Oryzias latipes: one gene and its partner. The protein of the gene in region 1 interacts with the protein of each later gene in a pairwise test. Links are inferred from orthologs where the notes say so. Each region holds a gene or a part of one and is shown on either strand. Other genes may lie near its edges.

Region 1 (15,500 bases):
CTGCGCCGACTGTTGTCGGACAGATAAAATCACCAGCATTTGCAGACAGTTAAGCCACAGCACGCAAAACAACAGCATGTGCTCAGGAGAGCTCGCATCGACACCTCCCACTCCTCCCCAGGAAGACAGAAAGTCATCAGCGTGAGCACTGGGAGAAGGATGAAGCATGACAGACAGCAGACAGAGAGATAACAGGAAAGGACAAGTGTTCAGAGTTAAACAGATAGAGAAGGACAAGGCACAGATATGTATATGTATATGTAAACATGACAGCATGTGACCCACGCATGTTCAATTTCTTGTGTTCAGCATGACTGTTTGTGTTCAATGGCATTCCAGGATGTCAGGAATTGTCTTCTTGTAAATGTTGTGGGGTGGCCAAGAAAGCAAACAGCAGAGTGAAAACCCAGATGCACACACAGACCAAAAATATACCCTAAAGGCAGCGGGGGAACAATACCTGACAAATCCTGAGAGGAGCATAGAAACAGCAGTCATTGATCATTGTTAGAGGTCTTCAGAAATGGATTTCAAAAAATAATAATAATCTTATGTTGGGATAGAAGAAAATCAAATCTTTTTTTTACCATGTGATCATGTTATTTATTTACCATGACAAAAAAAAACATTTAGTTGCAGCTGAATCTTCTAAAAAACTCCTGTCAGTCCATCAAATATTTACACAATGCATTAAAACACAACACTGAAAGCTGAAGAAGCTTTCTGCGGCATGGATTCCAGCAAGCGACTTTTAGTCACATACACCTGTTTGAGGGGTTGACCTGTTTTTCTCCATGTGAGAAACATATGATTCACATTAATAGCATAAACAGTCAAAGATTTACAGTTTGACAAAGACTGTGTCTTATTTAGCTGTCGACGGCGACAGCTGTGGTGTTAAAGGGTTAAGGGGAGCACAGGTGTGACAACAGCGGAAGTTGCACACATGACGTCCAGGTGATGCTGTCAAACAGCGTCCTTACGCCACACTCTAGTCGTGCTGGCAGTGCAGATAAAACACTTAAGAGCTCAAAAAGTTGATTTTGTATGATATAAGCCTTTTACAGTTTTGCCCATGTTTTGCCTGCAAAAAAGCCTGTTTCCACCTGTAAGAGCAGTTGTGACGAACGCATTGACTCTGGGTTCTTTTGCAGAACTCCTGCCTAACTCTGGATCACCTTTGTTTATGGATCTAAACACACTACCAGTAGCTGCATCCTCTCGGTGACAGGACCTTGGCAGGTAACTGAGGAATAAGGAACTACAAAGCTTCCCTGTCATGTTTAAAACCATTGTGCTATCTTACATGACCCCACCCTTACATTGACGTGTTCTCCCTACCATGACAAAGGTGGACAAAGGGGGAAAGATTTTTAGTAATCCATGGACACCAGTGAAGATCACAAATCATTGAAGAAAAAAGCTTCAGCGCACTGTCTAGTGGGTCTAGATGACCCAACTCCCAATGGTAAAGTGCCTAGGATAGCACAAGGGTTGCCAAATCTCTCAGGGGAAAAAAATTAAATCATGTGATTCTTCCTAAAAGGATGCTGTGCCATGATTGTGTGTCATGGCCCACATAAAACATGTGAAGTTAACCTTAGGAGCTCTAATTAGCAATCACACATGCGTCATGGACAGGGAGAAAGATAATTGGCAGGCCTAAATTTAGGGTAGAATCTTAAATGTTTAATCTGATCCTGTAATAATCTAATCAGTGTGCTGTCATCTCAGGAGGAAACCTTCCTCTTCTGCCCTTTGACTTCATCCTAGCAGCCAAATCTGGCAGCTTGGTGAAAATAAATATGCACAGCTGTCTGGTAAAGCTGAAAACAAAAAAGAATGAATAATTGAGAGTCCTTTGGAACCACGTTAATATTTTGTTGATTAATTTGTGGATTTTTTAAAGCATGATAATAAATTTAAACTAAAACTGAAGGGTCTTAAAAGTTACACTATAGGAGAAAACATTGCAATAGTGATAAAATGAGATGAAATATCAGATATTTTTGTGTAATAAAATATTCATTTTAATTCATACAGCCATCACAATAAACTGGATCTTTTACGACTATCAGCATCATTCTGTTAAAACAGAGCTCTGATATATTTCAGACACTAAGATGGTTAATTGGAATCCAGTTCTCAAGGGTATTTAAACTGTCTTAATGCTGCGCTTTTAAACATCGGCAGAGGTGGTGTATGTTACAAATCCAAAGACATTTCCAGGTTAGCAGCTGAAGATCTTTTTTTAAATACAGTCTGGAAAAAAATTGATGTAAAATGTCAGAAAGTCAAAAGTCAGTCAGTTTGTGAGCGCACGTCTGTTCTGATACAGAACAGAAAAAATATATTTCAGGAATGTAAAAGCTCTTTTTTTTAGCTATACTATTTCATCTGCTATAGAGGAAGACAATATATTAAATTATTTATGACAACTAACAAAGAGTGTTGTGTAGAAAGGTTCAATTCCCAGAGTAGAATAGATATCTTCCACTGACACTGACTTTAAATCAGGATGTTTTGTCAATAAATGTAGATGCCAGCAAACTCTATTTATGATTAGAGTGTATAGTAAAGTAACACTGAATCATGTATTTTCATAAACCATACAAGAACACATGGATTTGACCTAAAAAAAAATCTGCTATCTTCCTTTTTTAGTAGGCATTTTTTTGACAAATAGATAGATAGATAGAAACTTTGTTAATCTCCCAAAGGAGAAATTCATACTGTGTTCACATCCCATAATGTCCGGCTACTGTGGCCATTTGGGTTTAGTTGCTCTGCTCTGAGCACAGACTTATCAGACTAAGGAAACTCAGAAGTTCAGTCCGATTGGAATCGTATCAAGACCGCCTCGAAAGATGGGTCAGAGAGCGGTTTCTGGTCCCAGATCAGGCTCCTCTTGGGTGCATTCAGACTGAAGATTTGTTCCGGATTATCGGAGGAATCGAACTCTGGTTCACTTTAAGCGAACCAAGTGTGTCCAGTCTGAGCACCTAAAAAAGTACAGGCTTAAAAAGGTGGCCATACGTGTTCCTCCAAACTGGGAACTGCTAACGAAGAGCGCTGTACTTGATGTTGGTGAGGGTCCGAATGATTTCATTCTGTAAAGACGTCACATAAAACCCTAAAAAAGATTTTGTAAAAGAGCTTGGAGGCTGAACTTTGGTTCAGTCACGCTGCACCACCGTGGTCTTTTAATGAATGTCTAAATTCTCATAATTGGTTTAATTAAAAAAGGCTAATCTTTCAAACATTTTTAGATTATCTTTTAAAGTCAAACTAAATAACACATTGCAATTCCGCCTGGATTGATGAGGACAACATCAAATGAATGTTAAACACGTGGATTTGATTACCGATCCTTTTCCTTTTAAGGATTCATTTGTGAGTCTGTAACAGGTGGAACTCTGTGTGCACAGCTGCAGCTGTACTTTTCATGTAAAGGGAAGCCTTTAATTGAGCTTTCCTGCAGCTGGTCAGTGGATTTATAAAATCCAACCTGGAGACCTTCACTGTACGTACATGGGACCTGCAGGTTACCTGCTCTGCTGATTACTCTAACGTGGGCTAAAAACTTCACATCCCAAAGGGAGGGGGAAATTGTCTAAATTAGACCATTTATCTGTAAGACTATTTTTAGACAAAGGGTTCTGTTTGAGTGGAATGCTTTAAAAACAGCAAAAATTTGACAGAGCAACTAAAATAAGGATTTATCATCAGTTATTATAAACAAAAAGCTGAAATTTTTAAAAATACAAACCTTTTATCTCTTTAGTTAAAAGCGTGATTTACAGGACTTCTATAGAAAAAGTCTGACTTCAGCTACGTGCACACTGGGCATGTGAGGCACGTTCAAGAAAGCATTAGACAAGTGGTCTTGGTAGCATGTTTCGCCAATGATGTTCACATGGAACAAGCAAGAAAGGGGGTTCTGGTGAATCTTGCTCCAGGCTTTTCTTTCACAACTCTATTCTGATATATGAAAGACTTGGTGTCATAGAAACGGGAATAATTCATATCCTCTTCATGATCAATTTTCAAACAGTTGGCACTTCCATGCTTTGAAAAGGATGCCATCCGTATGTCCCAACCCAATCTGAGTCCCTGATTGGTCAAAGGTTGACCTTTACTTTCAATGGCCATGTGTCTTGTACTTAAAGCCAGGGATGTAAAGATTTATTTGAATAATAATTTGATTTATATCACAATCTGTGGTTTCCAATACGATTCTTAGTCGATATTGGACAAACTGATTCAATCCGATTGACTGACCTGAAACGACCTGAAACCTCCAAACGAGCTGTAAAACAGCTTCAGTACATCCAGAATGCTGCTGCTCGAGTCCTGACCAGAACCAGGAAGTATGATCACATTAGTCCTGTGCTCAGGTCTCTGCACTGGCTCCCTGTACCTCAAAGAATAGACTTCAAAGCAGCTCTGCTTGTGTACAAGTCTCTCCATGGCCGAGCACCAAAGTACATCTCTGACATGTTGGTGCCATATGAACCATCTCGTACTCTGAGGACCTGAGGGGCCGGCCTCCTGTTGATTCCCAGAGTCAGAACTAAACAAGGGGAATCAGCGTTTCAATATTCTGCAGCTAAAATCTGGAACAGCCTCCCTGAAGGCGTAAGACAGGCGTCTTCTGTGTTCATGTTCAAATCTAGACTTAAAACATTTCTGTTTAGCCGTGTATATGACTGAAAGGTCCTATCTGCACTTTTCTTTCCTTTCCTTCCTTTCTTTTTAAATCAGTTTTCAATTTTTTTTTTCTTTTCTTTTAAAGTAAATTTTATGTTGATTATTTCTATGATGTATTGTGATTTTAATGCATTTTTCTGTTTTGTGAAGCACCTTGAATTACTTTGTGTATGAATTGTGCTATACAAATAAACTTGCCTTGCCTTGCCTTGCCTTGCCTTGGATCCAGGACATCTTTAGCCAAAACTTCAAACAGTTTGACCATTTGGGTTTAGTCAGACAATCGATCTGGTTGGATGAATCGATTCATTGTTATGCCGCTACTTAAAGCCTGAAAATGGTCTTAAAAACGTACAGAGCTATGTGTGAACACGAGAGTTTTGAACGTCAACTTTAACGCACGAACATTTTCATTGGTTGCTTGAGCACGTGTTGCCAAAGGCAGTGTGAACGTAGCTTTAGACTGAACTACGGTTCCTGCCTATGTCGACGGTCAAAACCAACTGTATGAACATACAGATCCATTAACGCATGGTTAAATGCATATTTCATTCATTTTAACATTTGTCTTCAGCCGTTTGCTTTAAACTGTTGATTATAATAACAAAACTAGTTTTTCTGCTTACAACCACTGAGTAAGATTGTTCCTAATTGATCTGAAAACATTTTGTTTTTTTTCAAATGCAAAAAAAAAAGGACAGTTTTTTTTTTCTAGTTTGTTTGATGAATAAAAGAGTCAGACTTCATAGCCCCAAAATGTTGATGTGCGGTACTGTGAAATGCTGTCTGGCGCTGTACTGTTTATGCATTTATTTACCTTCGTTTAAATGTTTTTTTTATATTAAAGTCCCACTCAGATCATTTTTTTATCTATTTACAAAGCGTTCCCAGCGATCTTTTCATTCTGATTACGACTTTTTTATCCAAAATAACAGGAAATCTTGTCATTTTCTAGGACATAGTTTCTGCAGAGCGGCAGGAGTTCCTTCATTCATAAAAATTTTTGTGGGTGGGACTGTTTGCGCAGAGTAAGTCCGCCCCCATTTCCCATCATTCTTTTTGTTACACCCTCTCCTTCTAGCTTACCTCACAGCCCAAACCGAAAAATAGCGGTGCAACAAAAATGGCGAGCATCATTGTAATTATCCAGTCATACAGTTTAGATCCAGATTCCAGCTTGGAAGAGGAAAACAGAGACGTTCGGGAATCTTTCTGCAAATTAATGCATCAGAATGGAGTGAAGATAGTTTTCTATGTCACAAATAGGACCTTATTCAAACCGTTTTTGTCTGTTCGATTTCAACACAGAAATACTCAGAAATGCAAATTGAAGCTAATATACTGTATGTCCTCCATCATCAGAAAAATGCAATAAAAACATGTTAAAAATACAAAAATCGCATTGGATTTTGTCTTCAAAGCAGATTATTCATCTCTTTGTTTGAACAGTTTTATTGTATCAGGTGAAGATAAAAAGGGAAAACTGCATCATGCTCTCTATCAGCCGTCTGCTGTGTGATTTCTGATGACCGCCATGCGACTTCTGCCAAAGAAAAACACGTGCATCCATGCCTGTTTGCTTGCTGTCACTGCAATAACAGAAAAGAAATTGCTTAATCCATCTCATGATCAAATCCGGATGCAGCCCTTGGGCCTTCCAAGGTTCTCCACTTGATTAAAGCTGGAATTAAAACAAGGCTTTGACCTTCATGACTAATGACTAATTGCAAGCAATTAGCCCAAAGAATTGACTCTTTAAGCTCCTGGTTTTTTTCTTGTTCCTAGTCTCACAATCAGCAGCTGCTTAACAGGGTTTCACGCTGACTTACAAACACACACAAAGTAGTAAAACCCATGTTCTGTTTTGGAGACGGAATCTAAGGTCCCAGGCTCAGGCTCGGGTGTTTCAGCGAATACAGAGAGCCACACCCTCCATACCTGGGAGGTTCATCTAATTCTGCAAGCTCCTGAAACTGTAACTGGGAAAAAGCTTTTAACGCAGCAGTCGTCACCACCGCATTTTTCTTGTTACATGTTCATACAGTCAGATATGCATTTGGGAGGCCTGCGTGGATGCGATGCAGTGTGGCTCCGTCTCTGCCTCACACACAGATGAACTCTGACCCCGGCCCGGTGATGAGAGTTCAGGTTAACTGGGGTTACCCCTCTCTGCCTTTCTTTTCTGTTTGTTTCCCTCCCTTCGACCTTTTTTCTCTCTTTCAGGACTTCCCTGAAATCAGTTCTCACCAGCAAAAGTTGCACATTGGCGCTCGGGCTTGTCTAGAATCACTTCCACTGACAGAAAATATAAAATGCTGAAGTGCTGAGAAAGAAAAAATGCTGATTCTACACCTCAGCCCCAGGCAGGGCTGCGTGAAGCCTCCCGAAATGTAAGGCGTCTGCGGGGAAAGGCTGAGGAGGATCTTGAAACAATCCATATGCAATCAGCAAATACTTTCTTGACTCCACATGCCTAAGCTTCAAGCACATTACAAAGTCTGGCTGCTTCAGATTTAAGGCACAGGCTTAACCTATAGCTGTTTCCATAAACTTGTGTTGGAGCCGGGACGTCAAATAAATCATAAGTGAAAGCCAGACGCCAAAAAAAAGCCAACGAGACTGAAGCCTCTACGTACATTTTGTGTATCTTCCACGTATAAACTTTTGGCATTTTGTGATCCATGCGTGATATACGTGATTCATAAGTGTTTCCTACGTTCATCATCGTGTCATCGTAATACATTTGTAAATTTCCACGTAAAGACCACAACCTTTCTAACTCTTTCAAACGAATATTCACGCATTACCAAATTTCATCCATGCAATATGCGCAAAATGTACGTAGTGGCTGTGTGAAACGGCCTTGAGATCAATTTTCTTATGAGCTGGGTTTTAACTTAGCGCTTCGAAATGAAGTCTAGAAACATAAAAACTACATTTAGGGTCAAAACATGTTGGAAAATGTCATAAAATAATTTTTTAAAAGCTATTTTTGCTGTGGCTGCTTTTACAAAATACTATAAAAGGTCTTGCCGTTTTGCCAGGCCACATTTGAAATTAAGAATATTGTTCGTAATCTGGATAAGTAAAGGTTAAAAGATATATAGCCAACATGCAAAGACCCATATTGTTTATTTTTTAATGGTTTTCATGACAAAAGCGTTTTAAAAAAAAAAGTTGATTGATTTAAGAATATTCCATTTCTAGGAAATAGCTAGTGACCATAACTGATGTTTATCTTTATGTCATATATGTTGAACATAGCTGAAATCCTGGGATGCCACTGCTGATCACTAACAGATGAGAAAGACCATGAAGCCCTGAGGTTACGGCTCTGTTGCACAGAAGACTTTCCCATCGAGATGATTCCGAAAGAAGCTTTCTTTTGGGGTGGAAATGTTCTGGAACATCTATCCATAATGTGCGTCCCTGTTAGATTCTAATATCTTTAATTTCTCACACAAAAGCCTCATTTTGTGGTGTATTTTTACAGCAGAGCAGCAATAAATGTGTCATTAAGGGAGGAGGGAGGAATCACATGACAAGTGATGCATGACTCAGCAAGACAAAAGGAGCATTAGACTTAAATTGAGATTCAAACAACAACTATTTACGCAGAAAGTCGAAGTGGGTTCACAACACATGTTGTTGCTTTTTAAAGTCACTAAAAACATTAAACCAAACTAAAGCAGCAGCTGCTTTTAAGGCTGGAGGATTAAGTTAGGGATGAGGAGGGTTCGGCGTGAGGGGTGTCCCGGTTATGGAGCTGAGAGGCGCAGAGCGGCCCGGATCGGGGCGCGTCTGACGCGCGTCTCCGTTCCTCGGAGGCTTTAAGTTTGTTTATCAGCCGCCATTCCTCCGCGCGTTTCTGCGCACTCCTTCCTCGGACCATCCTAGACCAATAAATTCTGCTTCTGTCTCAAACTGTTTAGCAAGAGACGCGCGACAAGCACCATAAATTACATAAGCGCAATTAAAGTGCCAACCTCTGACCTTGCCGGATCGCCAAAATCACGATCGCCTAGGTTGGACGAAGGTTTGCTCGTAGGCTTTGAGGAAAACCTCCGTTTACCGGAGACCCCAAACCGTTTCTGCGGACAGGAGTTGCCGGGTAAAGTCCGCCAGCACTTTTTCGCGCACAGCTTGCAGAGAGTACAGACGCCATGGAAAGTGAAGTCTTCGGAAAACGCCGTGGCTTTGCCGGCTGAAACGGCTGCCGCGCGGCGCCGCGCACATGCGTGGAAAGCGTACTCACTCAGGTGCAAGTATGGATCACTGCTGTCCATAGTGTGCGGGGTTTTTGCGCGGATTTCCTACGGACGGCGCAGCTCCGCATCCCAGCGCATTCCTCTCCCAGCCCGACTGAACTCCGCGAGGCGGGCGGCTGAGCGCGCGGGGGCCCCGCGAGGGAGGGGGCGGCGGAACAGGGCTTCTACTCCCAATGACAGCAGTGGTCCATATCAAGCTCCGGCGCAATCATGGCGAAACATCTCCCCTGCAGCTACACCGTGTTGCAATGTTTTCCCAGAGAAGGATTGCTGCTGGTGTAGGGCGGGAATCTCCACTTTTAGCCATTTTCCTCCTTATACTCATTAGTTGCTGAACGTTACATTTGCATGTAATCATTTTTATTACTAGTTCTCACAGTGTACTTTTTAATTTGTGTTTTCATGTCTGCAACAATAAGAAGAATAAACCCAAACAGGAAAAACTAGTTGTTTTCCTTTTTAAATTACTTGCTTTGCTCCTTTGAGGGGACCCCCCCCCCCCCCCCCATCTGTTTGTTGTCAGTGCTAGTCTCAGTCTGGGTACCCCCATCCCTCCGGAGTCCCCTCCCCACACACAGCCCTGTTCAGATTGCAGGGTCATGCAGGGGTGAAGCTCCTGGTACCTCAGAAGGTTATTCAGGAGTCAAGCTGGGCTGAGGCATTCACAGTCTTGAACCGCAGAGCAGGCAGACGCTCGGTCAACGCCAGGCCGCTGTCCACTCAGCAGACCATTTGGGGCTGGCCCGCTAATGGGACAAGCACCCCCCCAGCTCCACTGTCCTTGTAACTGGGAGCCATAAAGGAGCTCAGGAGGGTCCTAACCAAGATGAATGGCATTTTTTTCCCCGGCTCATTCCACGCTAATCAAAGCTTTTCATTTGGTGTGGCCTCACGCCATCCCCTCCGCTGCAGCCTCTATTAGGTCAGATAGCATATAAATTCATTAAAGTCAAAGAGGGACATTAAAATGATCATTTGTCAGAGCCCCCTTTGTTTGTTGCTAATGGTGGCACATGGTTCAAGGCATTGAGATGATTTTAGTAAGACCTTTTTAACTGCTGTGCATGAGCAGGGGGACGTGGGAACAAGAACGCTGGAAAAACCTTTGCTTTTCTTGAAATAGTGACTTACACCTCCTTGTTATTTCTTTATTTATTTTTGTAAGATAAATGAGCTGCTGCTCACCTGATCCGCCTGTTTTTTATTTCATCAGGATGTTTGAGTTAGCCTCTTTTTGCCTGATCACATCAAATGCTTAAATTGGTGATAATCCAATCCATCAGTTTCAGATTACGACTCCCCCCACTTCAGAACACACATGCAAAACTCCCAGTTAGTGAAGCAACCGCTAATCCCTTTGTATTCACAGCCCTGTTCCCTCCAAACAATGTCCTGAAGCTTAATCCTAAACCAAGCTCAACCAACATATAGACCACCTGCTCTGCAAGTCACAGTGCAGCTAAGAAAACTTCAACATCACAGGTTGCCTTAAACCGGAAAGCTCTCCAAAACGGTGATGCAGTTTCAATTTCAAACTGAATTTCTCCTCGTCTCTGGCTGTACCCGTCCCTTGCTGTAGGACGGAGGCTTTGGCAGCGTCGTCATGGGAGGTGGCTCTTTCCATCTGCCTCCATAGTCATTAGCCCATCACGCTTTATCAGGAGGTGCTGCAACCTCCCCCCGCCACCATCACACCCTCCTGGGCCTTCCTCACCACAACCCCTACCCCCTGCTCCATACATAAGCCTGAGATGATAAGTGCTCAGGCCGGGATAAGACAATGCCACACAACACTACAGAACATCATCCATCTCAGAGGTCATCAATCTGAAACACAAAAGATGAAATGTGAGTCGGTTCCCTTTCGGCAAAACGAAGTTTGTCCTTTTTTCCTGCCAGATTTGGTGATATTTATGTTCAACCTGTGCCTGTTGTGTTTCAAACACCACAACTTAATAGAAACAACCAAACATTTAACAGTAAAGTGTTTGAAAATGTCAGAGATGAAGCTGTCAAGCCATCCAAAAATCCTCAGATGTTTTCAAATTAAGTAAAAACCCCAATTCAAATCATATTAATCATTGTTTGTTCATCTTCTTTTACACCTTATTAGGTTAAGATTATCCCATGACCAGTATGTGGCTTTTTCTCATCTGTTGTTTCCTTTCTGTGAACACATACATTTTCATTTTATCCAAAATAGTTGATAGAATTATTAGTGAAACAGTCTTTCAGAGCCGGAGACGCCATGCAGGCTTGGGATGACCGAGGACCACGAAGAAACGCCAGAGCCGTCCAAGACCCTGATGGTGGTTGGGCCCAGAGAACCAGGAAGAGAAGGAGGCGAAAACCGGCGAAAACAACTGAAATAAACAAATGTTTGTGAATTTAAAAGCAGGAATTTGATCATGATTACATGATTGTTTTTTGCTTTTCATTTTATTTATACATTCTTGCCAATGGGCCAAAGGCCATGAATAGGCCAATTCACACTCTAAAATCACAAGATTTTCATGTAAATACACCAAGTAGAGCATAGTAAAACAAAAAATATGATGACATATTACATTATTATATACATAATATTTTGCTTTTATTTTCTTCATCTTATTTTATTGCTATTTTTATTCTTTGATTGCTATTTTATCACTTGCTTCTTTGCACTGTCATGCTAGTGAGAAACATCATCTCGTCTCACCTGTGTATTTCACTCCAAAACTATGCGTGAAATGACAATAAACCAAATCTTGAATCTTGAATCTTGAAACTTGACAGAGAAGTTCATTTGCACAAACCTTTAATATACGTCAAAATGGGGTGAATAACGGTAACAAGTTGTGCCAAAGCTTCACTTTTAACAGATTTTTTGAAAGAGTGTGCACACGATCTCAACTGTATAAGCAACATTTGTTTGGATTTATTTCTATTTCCACCACAAAAGCCACATTTGTTAATTAATTTGTGGCATCAGTTCCTTTTTCGGTTTATGAATTGTGGGAAGGAGGGTTTTGACCACGGCTATCGCACGCGGCATCACACGTATGCACAGTTATAGAAATAAAAGAATAAAACTGTGTTATTATTATTATACTGCTTTGATTACAGAACAATCCCTTCAGTTCATCAACAAGCGGCTTCGGGATCAGGCTGAAATGCATTAAAAATCAATAAAGGCAAAACTGTTCATTTTATTAGATTATTATTATTATTATTATTAAAGTTGTGTATTAAATGAAACCCAGAGTCCCTAATCTACTGGGTTTAAACTATGAAGATCACAGCAGATAGTCCTGCCGTCTCTGTGTGTTTGAGGCTTTGCACACGATCAATATGATGAGCCCGGACTGATGCAGACAAAGGACATTATCCCTCACAACATTACTCCGACACATCGCTTGTGATCAACATTTTAGGACACTGCAAAGCAGCCATATGGTTTTTGGTTTTTCGATACATCAAATCAAATCAAATGAACCACATGGGCTCTAACGCTCCAGATGCAAAATTAAAAATTGGGATTAATATAAGCAAATTCACATAATTTTTGATGAAAAATAACTTGAAAAAGCTGATTTGGCTTTAAATGTTAATGTTAGGTGGAGTCCGGGCAGATGGTTGGCCCTTTATTAGTCGTAACCTTCCAGTAATGAGTTAAGACTTGCTCTTCTGAAATGAGCTGAATCAGACCACCTCAGGTTAATCTCACTACGTCCTGAAACGCCTGTGAAGGATTAGACCCAGCGTCCACCTGCTGCTGTTTTATCACACAATGTTTGTTACCACTGCAATTGCAGCATTTCTAAATTAAAATTGATTATTGTCTTTTTTTTTTCGGTACCAAAATATCTATGTTTAAGCAGTAACAGATTCATCAAAGAAGTATTGTTCACCCCCATATCACCTGCAAAAAGCTGTTTAGAACTGCTCTGTCTTTATTTTACATTTTTATTTTAATTAAATTTGTCATATCTGCAGTTGGTCATGTGGTGAACATGCATTCTATTTAAGGGGGGGGCTCGTCTTTGCCAGGAGAAGCTCTGGAAGCCCCATGGGTCTATCTAGGAAAACATAATTCCAGGAATGGATTATTATCTGCAGACAGAAAGGTCCAGCCGTTCTACTGTCCTTGGCCTTCTGTCACATCTTTGTCAGTTTCACACTAGGAGAAATAAATGGACTTCCTGCTGAATGTCATGGTTGCTACACTACCAAATGATGCTACTACAGTAGAGAAATTTGTCATTGTGGCCTGCATTGGTCAGCTCACATACTGGTACAGATTTATAAATAAGGGCCTCATTGGGCGGCTTCTTTCATGAGTGTGGGTCTTCAGCAAAGGCCCAACGGACCTTACGCTCTCTGCTCCCTGGATGTTTAGTCACTGTCTGTCCCTTGTGTTAGGACAGAGAGGGAAAAAATTACTTTTCAGCGTCAGGCATCTAAGGACTGGATTTTTCTGTAAAGGACAATTGAGCTCGTCTGTGCTCCTACACCTGACCGTGTACCTGTACCTGTTCCTGTACCTGTACCCCTCTCCTGTACATGTTCCTGTTCCTGTACCTGTCCCTGTACCTGTTTCTATTCCTGTACCTGTTCCTATACCTGACTGTGTACTTGGCTGTGGACCCGACCTCTGGCTCGTCTCACGCCGCAGCCGTCCCCCAGTTCCATCTGGATGGAGTCCATCCGCTGGACTATTTGACCCTTGTGCTATCTTAGATGACCCCATCCTTACTTTGACGTGTTATTTATACCATGACAAAGGTGGATAAAGGTGGAAAGATTTCATGTAATCCATGGACACCAGTGAAGATCACAAATCATTGAAGAAAAATTGTTCAGAGCACTGTCTAGTGGGTCTAGATGACCCAACTCCCAATGTTAAAGTGCCTAGGATAGCACAAGGCTTAAACATGTAGTGATAGAGTCAGAAAAGCTATTTCTTCTCTATGAGTTCTGGTACATCGCCTGTCCGTCCTGGCGGAGGATCCCTCCCTGAGGTTTCTTCTTTTTTTTCTGCAATCTTTTTTTTAGGAGTTTTTTCTTACCGAGAAGGAGGGTTTTAGGGCAAGGATGCCCAGTTTAGCCTAGTCTGTTTAGCACTTTAGTTTAGCGATTATCTATTGAATTCTATGACTTTGCGTTTTTTATGATTTCATGTTTATTATAAATTTACCAGTATGAAGCCCATTGAGACTATTGTTGTGATATTGGGCTATATAAATAAAACTGAATTGAAGTGAACTATCACATCTCAAGACTTTGTCTTGGTTCTGAAGGACCTGGAAATTAAATCATTCATATGTTGTTTTTTAATCTTTTTTACTGTTTTAATTTTGTTAAATGTCTTGGGTTGTGCCTCAGGAGTCGCTTGAAAAAGAGATCTGGAGATCTCACTGGGACTTCCTGGTTAAATACTGGTTAAATAAACAATAATGATAAAAATAGTATTGCCATCAACAGCAAAAAAAAAAAAAAAAGACAGAATTGTATTGGTACCCGCACTAAAAGACACAAATTTTACTTTTTTTTTTACCTTACATCTCAGTCAGGGTACTTTCAGAAATCCCTTTATTATCACTGCTGTACAATATAAATGGTGATGGTCTCGAGCTGTTTAAAGAACATGTAAAAGTCAGGGTTGAAATAAAATAAAATGTAAATCAAAAATGCAATGATGAACCAGGGTGTGTAAAGTCAAATGTACATCTATTGCACTTCCTGAGCCAAATTTTGCATGTGGAAGGTAATATTATAGATGTTGCAGTGTTTTTTTTGTTTTTGCTTTTGTTTTTGTTTAGTAGGTTGACAGGTTGCCTGGAGAAGAAAGTTTTTGGTCTGTTTGTTGAGGGCTTTGTGAGAGTAGCAGCTGAAACAGGTGGTGGGTAACTCCAGTCCTTGAGGGCTTCAGTCAATCTTTTTTTCCAGAAATATCTGTCCCACTTAGTGCTTATTACTTGGATTAGGTGTAAGAAATCAAGCATAGGTGCAGTTGGAAGTCAAGCAGGGGAGCTGCCCCCCGCTGGAGACCCCTGATCTGGGTGCTTACCACTGACACACTTGTCCAAAAGAGTTTTTCTTCACCCTTTCATATCATGCTATCAGCACGTTGAAGCTGCACTCGGCAAACACGGTAAAGATACTTTCACTCCAGCTGGAAGTTAGACATGAACAATTGATCTAACGATAATTACCACTTAAGCTCTTGCAACCCTGTAGTGTTATTATTATACTTTTAGCTGAACGAGATTAGTTGACCTCTTTTTTTAAATCTGCTAAACAACCTGACGAAAGCTTCTCCAACTAATAACTGACAAGAACAAATGATCCCCATGTTGTTGAACAAGAAGATAACATCAGCATAATCCCTGCTTAACTTCAAACTTTTTTTTCAAACAAAATAATTGTCCAAACATTTTTGTTTGATTAACATGTGGAAACATCTGAAAATCTCGTTTGCATTCTTTCTCTAAAGGACATTGTTTTAGTCCATCTAAAAGTTACACATGTTTAAATATAAAC
Region 2 (15,282 bases), on another chromosome or scaffold:
CATCTGGACTAAGCAACAGCAGACACCGTGAGGCTTCTTGTATGAGGCACAGAGACAACAAAAAGATTTATATTTTATGGCAAATAGGGCATAAAGGGCTTCTTAGTCAGCCTTACTAGAGTATTTGCATTTGGTTGCAAATGGCGCCGCCACCTCTGCTTACGTCTAGTTTTACCTCCCTCCTGGTGGGTGTTTCTGCTCCCGCGGCATTGTAGGCTGACCGCGGGCCGAATCCGGCTTTAGTTGCCAACCTACCTGTCTGCTTCAGACTCGTGAGGATAATTCATCTCATGTCTCTGTGAATTTGCATAATTACCCTACACCCTCTCTTTTTTTGATTTGAGTGAGCCCTGGCCATGTTCTACTGCACAGCCGTGTTGCTCGCAGAATTAGCTTGTCCAAAATAGTCTAAAACTTTTATGCTTTACTTCTGACACCAGTGTAACGTCCAGTTAGGGGAAATAAGTCAGAGATGACCTTTTCTGCTACAGACCATTCAATGTATAGTCTTAATAGTTGCTTTAGGGCACAACCACACCAGATAAAGTAGCATTGAATTCCAACACATTCTTCCATTCATTCTTCACTTGTTTTCTCCCAACACTGTTTATATTGGCTCAATCCACACTCACCCAATCACATCCATAAAGCGCTCAAATCTAAACCCAGAAGTGTAACAGAGAGTAGCAACACAGAACACAATAACAACTTAACAACACTGGCCTTTATACTACATTTGAACATCTGTAGCTCAAAAACGAATACAAATAATAAAACTTGAAGTGTTTCTGCTACTATTCAATGCCATAACTACATTTAAAAGTCTGAACTGTGTTTCTAGATTAAAAGGAGATGCATTCGAAAGGCATCTGTTTTATTGATTTCCTGAACTTTCAGTAACAATGAATATTAATTTATCTATAATTAGCAGTTTAAAAAAAATTTCAATAACAGCTTAATTAATTAGTCATTAGTCAAACGGAAGTTTCCACCTATTCATTTCAATAGGCAAAATTTCTAGAATTTTGTTTAATTGCTGAAGAACAAAAAAAAAGGCTAAGACTGCAGATTACAGAACCAAGGTTCTAAATGAGCTGACCATTTTGATAGCTGAATGGTTGAAATTAGCTGATGTATGCTGAAAATGAATTGACTAAAAAGATATTGAAAAGAAATAGAACAATCTTCAAGACAGAACAATTGTTTGACTGCTAATACAAACTGTTAATGTTTTCAGAAAAATGTGGATCACATTTTTAGAAGAAATAATTAAGACTGTTTGTGGGGGTGTAAGAGGGGGCCATCTGGTGGCAGTTTAACAGTCACTAAATGTATGTAACTGAGCAAGACATTTTTGTATTAATGAGTAAATTCTGAAAAGTGATCAAAAAGATGAACCCAGAAAAACAAAAATGCAGATTTTTTTTTAAATTCTGTCCATATGTGTGAACTTTTTTTTTTTAATCTATGCATTAAATGATCATTTTCTTTGCAAGTAATTTTGCTATTTTGTTGTTTTTCATAATGCAACAGCATAGATATGCACTTGAGTTTGGATGCGGACTCATTATAATTAACCTTACACACAAAAAAACCTTCATGTGTAAGATTTAAAATCCTTTTAGCAACTTACTGAATTTCAGCCTTTTGTTGTAGGAATAGGAGATGGTATTAATACCGAATGGTGATGTTCATAGAACTGTTGTCAAGCAGCGACATTTCCTCAGTGATAATGAGGTGAGGAGCTTTTTTGAGTGCAGGTGCTCAGGTTAACACCTGAGATAACCACAAACCACTTTCACTGCACCACAGTGCAGCCCTCCAGTGATCTCCATCTAACCAATTAACATGATTTAATAGACAGTTACTCCAACTAAAATGCAGTGTCGTACCCTAATTTATAGGGTATTGACAGTTTCTCACATGCAGGGAGAGGAGAGCAGAAGCAGAGGCTGGGTAAAATAGGATCTCTGGGGGAGCTGAAAAATGGTTTTGTTTTTATAGTTTTTCATTGGTTAGGCAAGAGAAGCTGAGGCAAACCAAGTCGGAGTTGTCTCCTGTGAGCTTTTGTCTAGCCTATGGCACAGAAAGTGAGCCTGCATATTACTGAGTCCATCATAACACAGCAGGAGAATGGAGGGAGGAGAATTAATACACTTGGCTTTCATGCAAGTACGCTCCCTCCATGCCATTCCTCTCCGCTACACCTCAGCTCTCCATTTCTATTCAAGCTCCACTGAACACAAGTACTTTATGTAGTAGTAAAATTAGCCAATATGTAGATTTGACTCCTTTTACATATCCACTCTAGTCAGGAAAAATTTAAGAAAAAGACAGTAATATTTTAAAAGACGAAATCCTGTGTGGCCAGCAGCTTGGTCCTTTGAGTGCAGTTAAGGCTCAGGGGCAAACATTTTTTCTACTGGGCATTTCATTGAAATGGACATTGGTGATTAAAGGCAACAAAGATGTAATTCCACTCATATAAATAAACTTTTTGCATTTTCCTGTTATAATATACATTTTTACCTTTTTTTAGTTGAGAAATCATTTTACTCACTTTTATGAAAGGTCATAAAGCATACGGTCTCTGCCCAACCTCTACATTTTCTGCTGCATAAATGTGATCAGTGCATCATGGGAAAAACAAAGTGATAATAGCAAAAGCCATTTCTTCTGTGACATTTGTTCCCATATCTCTCATCGGATTTCTACGTGCAGTCAGGAGAACAAACGCTGGCCAAATGTTTAAATGTGAATATGCCGCATTAAATTTAAACCCCGCTTTCAAAACTTTGGCTAGATGGAATTGTATGTTTTTTTTCCTCTGCAGATAAGACAAAAGTCAATTGAAAACAACCTGCGGGGCTGTTGTGCCAGTGGGGGACTTGGTAATGGACCTGAGAAATTGAAGCATGTCGGTTAAATTATAGAAACATAGCTCTGCCTCAACCTGCAGACATGGAAATGTGCTGTAGTTTCTAAGACGAGTGTGTTATGAATCGTCCAACGCAGCTTTTTTTCATCAAAAATCCCATCAGTATATTAAAAAGATACAGTCTTGGCCCTCATATTTTTTCTCCCTGAATAATTTAAATTGCTGGTGAACTCAGTGATTGGGCAGCATTTCACTTCTGCCAGTTACCTTCAGAAGAAAACGTTTTTAACGTATTCTGGTACCTGCAGAGTTAAAGAACACACACACCCACACACTGAACAAACATGAACTGACTTTAATTATGACCTTATATAATATTGCATTACACAGACATTGTGCCCCATTAACACGACTTGTCAACAATAAAATAAAGAGCCCCCCAGTCAGTAGATCCTGACATTAATAATTTTAAGAGATTTTTATTGCTCCCCTGACATTTTAGCAACCACCATCAATGGGTCAAATGTTCAGTGCTTTGAATTAGTGATGAATTTTTATTACTAGCATCGCAGAAGATTCATCTGCAACTTTCTTTCCTTCTTCGCTATTTAAAGAAGCCCAAAGACAACAAAACACTGTCCAGGTACTAGGCCTGCACAATATACCGCAAATTTATCGTTATCGCGACATCAAGCTGTGCAATATGCATACCGCAAAAGACGGCGAAAATCGCAATTAATGGTTACCTTGACCCTTGTGCTATCCTAGGCACTTTAACATTGGGAGTTGGGTCATCTAGACCCACTAGACAGTGCTCTGAACCTTTTTTCTTCAATGATTTGTGATCTTTACTGGTGTCCATGGATTACATGAAATCTTTCCACCTTTATCCACCTTTGTCATGGTAGGGAGAACACGTCAAAGTAAGGGTGGGGTCATCTAAGATAGCACAAGGGTTAAATGTGCTAAAACAAACTCATGGCAGCTTGAAATATTGAATAAATGAAATAAATCCCTTTATGCATTTAACCAATCGGAAGGACCCGTTTACGTTGTTGATCAATCAAATGAGCCCTTTTATGTTTGATGTTTGCCTCCTATGTCGACAGGGGTCATTTGGAGTATAATTTTTATACTGTTGCATTGAAATGGAAACTATGTTTTTGGTTGGTTTGATATTTGTTTATATACCGCAAATTATATCGTTATCGCAATATTAATCACCAATATCGCATATCGCAAGATTTCCTCATATCGTGCAGCCCTACCAGGTACCAAAGGCTGCATTAACGACACTAAGCCTCTTTCCATCTTCTGTGTTCACTATAAGTAATTTTAACACTTATTTAGTTGTGGTTTAGGTAACATCTGTTCAGTGCATTCAATCTCTTTCGCTTGTTTGGCAGTTATCGTGGGTTCTGCAACTCCAGTTTACTGCTGGTTGGTGGAAGTGAAAGGTCTTGCTTAACTCTACTTGATATTGACAGTAGTGAGAGATACTGTCAACTTTGTTTTTTCAATTAAAATTAAATTGAGGAGTGTATGAAGTATGACTTATTTTGATGCCATTGCTATTGTAACTTGGTCTGTATACACCATTGACTATGTACAGTAAACCCTTGTTTTTCGCGGGAGTTACGTTCCAAAAAGAACCCGTGATAGGCAAAATCCGTGAAGTAGAAACCTCTATTTTTTTAACAAGTATCATCCAATTAAAAACTCTATTATACATTGAAAAGAAAGAACAAACCATTTTACAGGCTCAAGCATTTGTTTCACAAATAAAAGTACTTTAGAAAAGTTTTCTTTTCAACAAATAAATTCTGTACTGTACTGTCAAATAATAATTTGAATCATCAATGTGAACAGAATGCTTCAGATCGCGGAGATAAGCAACGCCCACCGCGACCCGAGAAGAATTGAATTAAACGGGAGAAAATTTAAAATGATAATAAAAAATTACAAAGTATAGTCGGACAAATAGTGACTCAGGTGTATATCAAAGCTCTTGAGAGTGAGCCGCTGCATCCTGACTCCGCTCTGCAGTGTTTCCTTCTTCTGAAGCCCGCGGTGCAGGTGTGTTTGTTCGGGAGCAGAACATAATGATAAACAGTTGTTGTCGCTCTGTTTTCTATGGGTTTAAGAGAAACTCCAAATTGCAGGATGATTTGCACGTACGTGTTGTAAATTTGGCACGCTGACTTACGTACGTGTACATATTAAACTGCAACGTTATTGACGCGCAGGTAGAGAAGAAGCAGAGTGACTTTTTAGCCAATCAGAATGCAGAACACAATGCACGATGCAAATCCGTGAAAAGTAAACCGTGTTATAGAGAGGGATCACTGTATAAGAATTGGACTGAGTGACTCCTCCCCCACTCATGTTCCAAATAGGAGGTAGCCGCTGGCTCCAAGAAACTAAAATCCCACAGACTTCTATGGAGAAACTCATTCTATTGGTCAGAATAACTGTTCTTCCTCTGATTTATTTTTAAACATGTTCTTGATCATTCTAATGCTTTTTCATTTAAGTTATAAACTGGCCAATCAGATGCCTCAATAAAAGTGAGCTGTCTCTCGCCAAACCTTACAAACATTTGACAGATTTTGTGTAGTTTCTTTTCAAGTGGTAGGGGTATGGAAATCCAACAAGCTCACTCCTGATTGGTGAGAGAGGTGTCCATATACAGTAAATGTTGACTCTAAACGGACTGGGACTAATCACTGCTTACTGATGACATCTGGCTCCAACATGGCGATCTTCATATTGTGAAAAAATGGTGACTGAATTTACTTTGTTTCATTTGAGCTGGAGGTAAACCATTTTCTATGGGTGACATCACACTGACTCTGTCCAGTTCTCCTTTATAGTCAATGTTCCCAACCCTGGTCCTTGGGGAACACTGTCCTGCATTTTTTTAATCCTACACTGCTCAAACACACCTGCCCTTGATAACTGCCATTATCAGGCTTCTGCGTGGTTGGATGATGAGCTGAATCAGGACAACATGGAAAACATGCAGTACAGTGTCCCCTGAGGATCAGGGTTAAGAAACACTGAAATAGGCACAGAGATGATCCATTCAGTGTATTATTGTGTTAGATGGAGCTTCAAATTATAACTTTTTTCTACTCAATTACTGTTTGGATTGTTGAGTTTAGGGGGAGTAAACTCTAGTTATTGTACCTATGCATTTCAGTTTTCATTTTCGCCATGAGATTATTTGCCCTGTGTCTACATGACTATGTCCGAATTCACTCACTACTCCCTAACCCCTAAAGGACCCCAATCCAGTACTTTAGATTTCATGGAATTCTGAGACATGCTTGTTACTTTTATTTTTTAAAGGAAATGTGACATTACCACTTTGCTGAGTAAAAACCTTATAAATAAGAACATTTTACGACGACTATTTATGAATCCACTGTGTTTTGATGATGGGAACTTGGATGAATTATAGAATTGACATTTTATTTAATTTTTTTTTCAATGGAAAATTCTTCAAACACAATACATTGTGTGCTATATTTGCCAATCTAGTCAGCATCAATGTGCACTGGTTTTTCACAGAGACTCCAGGGATGTATTTCCAGAACAGTAGATTTAGGATTGTTGGGCTCTGTCCAAATTCCTTCTCTACTCTCTAACTTTTTAAAAACTATATACTGCAGCAGTGGCGTGGATTTTAAAAGCAATTTAGACAGCATGCCCTCTACTCTTTTTTTTTTAAACACCAAATGTGATGTCACCAATTTCACAAAGTGTTTTTGCTCCTTTGGCCATATCTCTTCAGGTTTCGCATCGTAAAAACCTAATACTAGCATTTTATGTTGACTATAAATCTACTGTGTTCTGATGATGAAAATATTGATAATTTATGAAGAAAGAAGAATTCGCAAAAATTGTTTGAATGCAACGCATTCTGGTCTATATTTCCCAATCTAGTGGGCATCGATATATGCTGGTTTTTTGCAGAGACTTTTAGAAAATTTCTATCGCTCAATTTTAGAATTGTAGCTTTGGACAGCACTACAAAATGACAAATGTATTATATAGTTCACTATGTAGTGAGTAGTAAAAAAACAAACGGACTAAACTGTAGATTCTGATAAAATAGTGAATGCCCTATATAGTGCACTAAGCAGTGACGGAAATCGGACACAACTGATGTCTATGCGTGGAACGGGCAGGAAAGCAGCCAGACAGGGATGATGACCATTCCTGTTACGTTCCTCCTTTAAAGACCCACTCCAATGAAAATTGTGTTTTTGGTGTTTAACATGTTCTTATAGCATTTTTTTTTTATAATAGAGGACGTGTATAAATAATTTAAGATTAAAATTATGTTTCTGAGTATTTCTTTATTCAAATCGCGTTAGATCAGGAGCAGATGAAAACAGGATGTTTGAAAAAGCATGCACGGGCTAAAGTCTAGCTTTTTCTGCTCCGATTCTAAATCCTCCACTTGCAGACAAATTTTCATTTTCTCGTCTGAGCTGCAATCTGGCTCTAAACTGTGCGACTGGATTCTTGTGATAATGCTTGCTGGTTTTTTTGCTACGCTACTTTTAGCTTGGGCTTGTGAAGCACTTTTCGCTAGTGGGAGAGATTGTAAACAAAGGCATGCGGGGAAGTTAGCTAGGCAAACTTCTGCGCAAACCACAACCCAAAAGCAAATTTCTATTGAGCTCCTCTGCAGAAAATGTCTTAAAAACAGCTCGTTTTTTATTTTTATTTTATTTTATCTAAAAGATCACTAGGAATGATTTTGCAATAGAAATGAAAACCAAGTTGGGGAGGGACTTTAAAAGGGCCCATATCATGCTATACTTACTTACTTTTATAGTAAACAATATCCATGTATATGTATTTTATATATGTCATTATGTGTGTATGCACGCTATCAGAAAGGGTCAACTTATTTGCCTTCTCCGGCATACAAAAGAAAACATTTTTATCAGTTATTTTCCCCCCGGAAGTAAGACGACTTGATCTCTGAGGCACAGCCTTTACTTCCTTGTGGGTGCCGCCTATTTCATGACATCAACCAACCTCAGCAGCATGTCTCTGTCTTGACCACACAAACAAAGATCCAAACTTTTGCAAAGATGGATGTGCATATTGTGCGTATAAAAGCGTTTTATACAGCTAGCTCCATGGAGGAAGTGTGAGTGTGTTAACCTGGGGGCGGAGCTGGCAGTGCAGACTCTTCCTGGAAGGGGCTGTTCCCCAATTATCTACCTCAGCTCATGAGAAAGGAGGGGCTGTTGCTCAGATCACAGATTTTTAGAGGGATACTCAGAAATACGTGAACGGTCAAAATACAGCTTTGGGGTTTCTTTTTGTGAGGAATGAACAATTTTATTACACTTAAAAGCTCAAAAAGTTAATTTAGCATGAAATAGGCCCTTAAAACAGTTGGGCTGCAGGAAACCCAGATCTGCCATGTGTGGCGTGTCACCTGCTGCATCAGCATGTGGATGCAGACATGATGACAGCTTCAGAGGAAAGGTTGGTCCATCCTACTTCATGCTACCGTTTTTGTCCTTCCATCTTTTTTGTTTTCAGTTTTCTCAAAGTAAGGTATATCAAGTTCCCGTTAAAGTCCTTGTCTGACTGTGTCCTCCACAATCTTCCTTTAAACACTTATTTTTGATTCAACATATTTGTTTTTCTGGGTGTACATTTCAACGGGAAGCTTTATTTCCGAAAGTAAGTGAATGCAACGAGAAAGCGGCACGTTGCGCGCGAGCACAACGGTAGGGTCGCGCGCGCACGTGAGGTGGCAGGGGGTTGTGCTCTCTCCTGCTCTCTGACCCCAGCGGCAGCTCCGACTCACTGCACCCCGGCTCCCCCTCCGACAGACCGCGGCTGCTCTCTCTCCCCCCCTCCCGTCTGTCAGCGTAGTCTCTCGTCCTTCTCTCGGGCTCCTTCTCCTCCTTGTCTGGTTTCTTGCCACAGAAGCCAGCAGAGGTCCCGCCGGGTCGAAGGTTTCGCCCTACCCGCCCAGACTGCCGCAACATTCGGACTGCTGCTAACGAGCCCGCCCGCTGTCCTTCTGGCACCGCATGGACCAACGTTCCTCCTCCGCCGCCGCTGCCTCTGCGTAGAGTGCGACCCCGACCCGACACTGTTTCTTCGGCCACATAACAAGCAGAAAAGCCCAAACAAACAACAGAAGAAGGTACTGCAGCCTTTCCGCTTTGCTCTAAAATATCACCGGGAGGGGGGGCAGAGGAGAATAAAAGACAGGACCTGACACAAAGCCGCCACTTCACTGGCGGCTTGTCATTTACGAGGAGGAGCAGGAGGTTAGCGGCGGTGCTTTGACACCGACCACCTTTGGCTGTCTGGTGTTGTTAAAGGAGCAGAGTTCACGGCAGAACCGACCTTCCTTTATGTGTGCTGCACCGCGAGCGGCGCAAAAGTCATTACGTGTATGCACGGCATATCAGAAAGGGTCAATTTATTCGCCTTCTCCGCTTACCGGAGGGATTTCTCCCCGTGAAGTTCGCTTTGTGGTGGACACCGCCGGCTCTCGTGTGTCCACCGAGCGGACGGGACGATGTCTGTGTGCGACGCCGGCCGCCGCGGCTGGCGAAAGGCGCGAGCGATGCGAAAATGTAGAGCCGGCGCACATTTAGCTAGCTAAGCTAGAGAGCTAGCTGCTGCTGCTGCTGCTACTGTAGCCATAAGGTAGACAAGGCAGGGAGCCCTCCACCCCCACCCCATTTAAACTCACGCGCGCGCGTACTCTGAGGAGACTTTGAAGCTGCACGCGCACTAAATCAGTCCTTAGTGTTTCGGCCTACATTTGCGACATTAAGCTCATTTGTTGAGTCGCTGCAGAAATCCAGCTTTTTATGGCTTTCTTTCTGTTGGCGGAATGATTTTCCTCTAAACCTAAGTAAGTGATGCGCTTAAATAAAAAAAAATTCATTTGCAATCTTGAATTTTCTGCTGTAAAAAGAGTAATTTTAAGCCTAATGTTTGTATGAAGGTGTTCCCCTTTTGTTGCATCATTCAAAGGTTTTTTTCTTTTTTTTCTTTTCTTCCAACCTTTCTGGATCAAATGAATTGATGAGGGGGGGAGGGGGGGCATGCATCCAGGTGACCCAGAAACCAGAAATCAATGCTCTCTCTGGTGGAAATGGGGCAGTTTGGTCAAAGTTAGCAGCAGCCTTTGCCTCACCCGTTGTTGCATCCCAGGACTGTCCAGTGGGCGCTGCTGCTGCCAATTATTCTCCAGACTTTTTCAAGTGAGAGCTTTACGCCCCATGACTTTCTTTCCCCCTGGTGCCTGGATGCATCCGCAGGTTGGGTATAAAGCGTCTGGTAAACACAGCAACTATCAGGTCAGACAGGAAGGAGGCTCAGGGTAAAAGGAGACGCCGCAGCAAAGCTGGGTGAGTGATGCAAAGCAATGCTTGTCCTCAAAGGCTGGAATGCTTTTCTTTGCACATTTTGAATGGGATGGATGTCTTCTTGGGATCAGCATCTTAAACTTTCCCCTTTTGCAACACCGGTTTTATGCTGGGAAATTTCTGATCAACGTACAGTAAATTCTTGCAAAAAAATTTGCCTGCATTTAAAATTTCACACAATGTAAAGTTTTTATTTCATTTCATGGATACAATACTTTGTGTTTTATTAGACAAGTTTAATTTATTAGTTGCATTTTGTTTGGCTTAATGAAAAAAAAAAAGCGGTTGATGTGCAGTTCCATGTTGTGTCTCCAGAAAGTAATGTGTTTGTGTTTGTGTTTGTGTTTGTGGTCCAGACTGTAGCAGTGCAGTCGGTCAGTCGGTCGGTCGGTCGGTCGGTCGGTTGGTTGAGTGGCTGCTGGTGCTGCTGGCAGACATTCGTGGGCTTCTTGAGGGACTCTGAAGGATGACCATCGCACAGTTTGCTGCTCGGTGAACAAACGGCATCTCATGTCCAAACAGCTGAAGGATGGCTCATGGCAAAGTGACCATCACAGTGGACGAGTACAGCTCCAACCCGACACAAGCCTTCACGCATTACAACATCAACCAGAGCCGCTTCCAGCCTCCACACGTCCACATGTGAGTACACGCTGTCGAACACGGTCGAAACTGTTTAGCTTTTATCTAACAATGTTTGTGGGTCAGTAGTATTATTTCAGAATCATCCAAACAGCTATAGTGAAGCATAAATCCAATCTGGAGTATTTTAAGGTTTTAAGGCCATTAAGTAAAAATGATCTAAAAAGCCGTAAACTAGACTGAAAGTTCTTGTTTTAAAATTCTGCACGATGTAACTCCGGATCCGCCAAACTGAGACAGTTTTGGAATGCTTGTTTCCACTGTCGTCTGCTTAATGCTCATGCGGCTCTTTTTGGTTCTCATTGTAGTAAAACAATCAGATAAGTAGTGAGACTAGTTAAGTGTGCAGTCAATAGTGGCTGTGGTTGCTGTGACCTGTTGAATTTGTTGGAATCTCTACATTCGCTCCCTGACGCGCCACATGATTGGTGCCCTTTACTCCACAGCTTTCCTCAAAGTGAGAAATTCTGACATGCTTTATTTAAATTTCAGTCAAATTTATTGTCATCCTATTTTACTGTTTTTAATGTAGATGTTTTTGGTCAAATTGCTTTCAAGGTTCAGTGTTGTGTAGAAACAAAGTGCCTCCCTTTTTGAAGGCTCACACATTCCAGCAAAACATCAGTTTGTCTCCTATCCACAATCCTATTATTAAATAGTTTATTAAATAATTTAAACTGCCGTTTATTTAAAAAAAAACACTTAAAGTTATTTTTTATGAATAAAAACCAGACAAAAATAACCTATGGAGGATCATTCATTCGAACATCCGGAGCAGACGCTGCAAACAGTTTCCATGTGTTGCATCTATGCAGTGAAAATGAAAAAAAGGTCTAGAAAAAGAAGAGTTGAAAACACAATCTACATTTGCAGGCAAAGCCTTCTGAAATCCACATATTTGTTTTGAATACATAATGCAATTATTATTTTGGATTTTATGTTTTTTTAATATATTAAATTAATTTGTACCACTGTCAATTATTTTTATTTCATATGCTTAATTGCCCAGAGAGTGGGAGCTGATGACAGGATAGTATAAACACATTTCTCTCAATGTTTGAGTTTATATATATAGTTCATGAAAGGTTTATGAAAATGACTAACTATTGCACTTAAAGTCAGTTTTGATGTTGAACTAATGCTTCTGATGTCTACTAGTATTAACTTGTGTATTTTATGTGAAGATTTAAAAAAAAACTCTTTTCTCATTGAATTAAAATTTCAATGTTTTTAGAGAAAAGAAAAAAATACTAAGCTAATAAAAACATTCAAACTTATTGCAAATGATTAAAGTTAGTGTGTGTACACCTAACAAATACATTTTTAATTATGTTTTACATATTAACCTCATTATAAGAAATAGCCTTACTTTTCACATTAATTCTATTCAGCTAAAACTCTATTGTAGTTTAGCCAACTACGCCATTATGGTGTTCTGTCGACTAAAACCAACGGTCAAAATGACTAAAATATGACTAAACCTAAACAGCATCTAAGTCAAGAGATTTTGACTAAAACTATAGGAGAATTGTCTCTTGGAATGAAAAGTGCTGAAGCGCTGCAAAAAGATCTGGTCATCATCTTTAATGAATGCCCAGATGCAGTTAAGTTTTTCATGGCAAAATTTCTTCTGGAGATGAAGTTTGAGCATTCCAAAACTGGAGGCTGCATGCATATTCATGTGTTTACTGTAAGGGAGGTGGGGGGTTGAAGTTTTGAAGCCTGTTTAAAAGGCTTATTTATTGCAGAAATGTAAACATCTTAAGAGTCAGCCTTCACATAAACTACATCACAGATCCCTGCAGACTGCTGAGCTGAAAATCCAGCCATCCAGCATTTGTGTTGGTGTTTCTTTTATAGTGTTTACCCAAAATGCACAAGGTCTGGTGATTCTGTTCCTAATGTTTTAATTGAAACTGCATTTTATGAACAAAATTAGAACAATTACAGTGGATTAGTTTGGAAGTCCTGGGAAGGAAACAGTTTGAAGAAAATCAAATGATTGAAGGCCGATAAAGTCACATGAAGCTGTGATGCTTTTCAAAAGATTTGAAGCTATAAGGTTTCTGTATGAAAACAGGTGATAGAATTGTCTGATGGCCATCTGAAGCCTCAACAACCCTAAAGACCCACTTCAATGAAAATGGTGTTTTTAACATGTTCTTGTAGTATTTTTCTGATGATGGACAGCACATATAAAAAATTGGGATTAAAACGAAGTTTCCGAGTTTTTTTTTCTTGTTTTTTTTTTTCTGTGAATCAGGAGCAGATAAAAAAAGGAGTTTGAAAAGAGCTTGAAGTTGGGTGGTAGAAGCTACAATCGGCAGGTCACAAGTTCCCTGTTCCGTTTCATTCTGATGCATCCACTTGCAGACAAATGGATCCATGAACATGTTTGTTTTTCTTGTTCGAGCTGACATCTCGGTTGAATTCTATGTATTCATGATCCTTTTGATTTTATGTTTACTTTACAATTACCGTTACGAAGCCCATTGAGACGACTGTTGTTGTGATTTTGGGCTATACAAAAAAATTGAATTGAATTGACTCTCGCTCAAAGCTGTATGGCGGAATAGCTCCATTATTGCTCACCATTGTTGTTACACCGCTAGTGTAAGGTTGGGGGAGTGAGGAACTATAAGCCAGATGGATGACGGGAAGTGGCGGCGGGCTTACTATGCACCAACAGTCCCGTCCACAACTCGGAGGTGAATTTTCTGATAATCTCCTCCTGCTCTCCAGAAACTGTAAAATTCTAATCTTGGTAGAAAAAGATATGGAATGTAGACAAAGATCTGCTCGTAATTGAAGATCTACGTAGATTTGGCAAACTGAATGCATTCTGTACAGGAGACACGGCAAGGAGGAGATTGATTGACAGTGGTCTATAGCCAATCAGGACACAGAACACAATGCACTGTAACATTAAAAGAAAAAAGAAAAAAAATATTCTAATAAATCTGAAAAACAGGAAGACAACATTGTAGCAAAGGACCAATGTTTTAGTTTGTTCCATATTTCCTTTACCAGTACCTTTATAAGACACTGAAGCAAATGTCTGGATGAAGGTTAATTCAAACTGCCCATGTCAAATGTAAGGAAGCTCTCCTCTGTAGTAATTATGTTCAATAATTTAAGATGCACTCACTGAAATAACGAGACCAACACTCCAAGATTCTTCTATTAGAAGGCAAAAGAGCTAAGAAAAAATTCCCCTAAAGTCACTAATTTCCTGACCTTTTTCCGCTTTGTTGGTGGTAGGATTTAGAAATGAAGTTCAAGTCAAAGGGGATGTATTGAGGCCGTGGGGCCTCTCAGCAGATATGTGTTTGGATAAATACATTAGTCCATTTCCTGGTTTCCACAGAGCCTGCAGTGTTTAAGCCAGTCATTCTTTAAGTCTGAGTGGGAACCTTGCAATCACGCTATAGGCCCATCCCCCCTCCATCATGTTCAAGTGTGTTCTCTTCTAGGAAAGTAAAGACTTGTTTAGATTGGGGAGGTGGGGATCCAGCGTGCGGGTGGTTCTTTCGCCATTCACATCATTCAAACATAAAAAATGTAACTTCTGTGTTAGACACAGAAAGAGAGAGGAGGGTGCCCCCTTTTTTGAATTGGAATCCCAGCTCCAATGTTTTTAACACCCCCCCCCCCCCCCCCCGACAGAATATTGAGATTTCTCAGATGGAGTACAGGAGGGTCTTTTGTGTAGTTCAGAACATGCTGGTGGAGCGCACACATCGTCATACAATCTCTATCACACAGACACACACACACTTTCCAGCTAATGCATTGGAACGTGACCCTGAAGTCAGAGTTAGTTTTCTTCGGAGCATGGGACGTCCGTCTGTGTCCTGCCCTGTTTGTGTCTGGTTTATTTTTCCAAGCTGTCTGTATTTTTTTCCCCTGTTCAGCCTCCCTCTCCTCGTCTGTGTAATGAAATGCAACTTGATCGTATGCTTGGGGTTTGTTCAGAAATGGCTTCCTACTTAGCTTCCTACTTATTTAAATTATACAATCATATTACCAAAACAATAACCATTGGTGTAAAATAATATTTGAATGTTTGAAAGTCCTAGTACTAGACTAAAAATCCAACTTTCTCTCTGAACTGATACTTTATTTAACCCATCATGACGATCAGCACATGTATCGCTTTACTTTGCTGCTGCAGTCGAGGTCGGTGCCGGATAAGCCGGCTAAGCGTCGCACCATGTAACAAATACACAAAAAGTGATCTCAACCGAAAAAATAGCACGAATAAAGTACGAAAAACTGATTGAATATTAATTTATTTTGTATATAGTATAAGCAGAATAATGGCCTTCGAAGTGT

What was found.
Region 2: the proteins of retinoic acid receptor RXR-gamma-B (region 1) and metallophosphoesterase MPPED2 interact in binary tests that used the Homo sapiens proteins (3 or more experiments, as listed by UniProt). The two-hybrid records come from large-scale screens. The link is inferred for Oryzias latipes from reciprocal best matches to the Homo sapiens genes RXRG and MPPED2.

The regions. Positions count from the first base shown.
Region 1 is NC_019862.2:29,482,640-29,498,139, reverse strand, and holds the start of retinoic acid receptor RXR-gamma-B, read right to left. Parts: upstream 9,154-15,500; 5' UTR 8,997-9,153; coding exon 8,966-8,996; intron 1-8,965. UniProt on the Homo sapiens protein: Receptor for retinoic acid. Retinoic acid receptors bind as heterodimers to their target response elements in response to their ligands, all-trans or 9-cis retinoic acid, and regulate gene expression in various biological processes.
Region 2 is NC_019861.2:5,990,538-6,005,819, forward strand, and holds the start of metallophosphoesterase MPPED2, read left to right. Parts: upstream 1-8,673; 5' UTR 8,674-9,065; intron 9,066-9,682; exon of another isoform or gene 9,683-9,788; intron 9,789-9,983; exon of another isoform or gene 9,984-10,287; intron 10,288-10,661; 5' UTR 10,662-10,834; coding exon 10,835-10,947; intron 10,948-15,282. UniProt on the Homo sapiens protein: Displays low metallophosphoesterase activity (in vitro). May play a role in the development of the nervous system.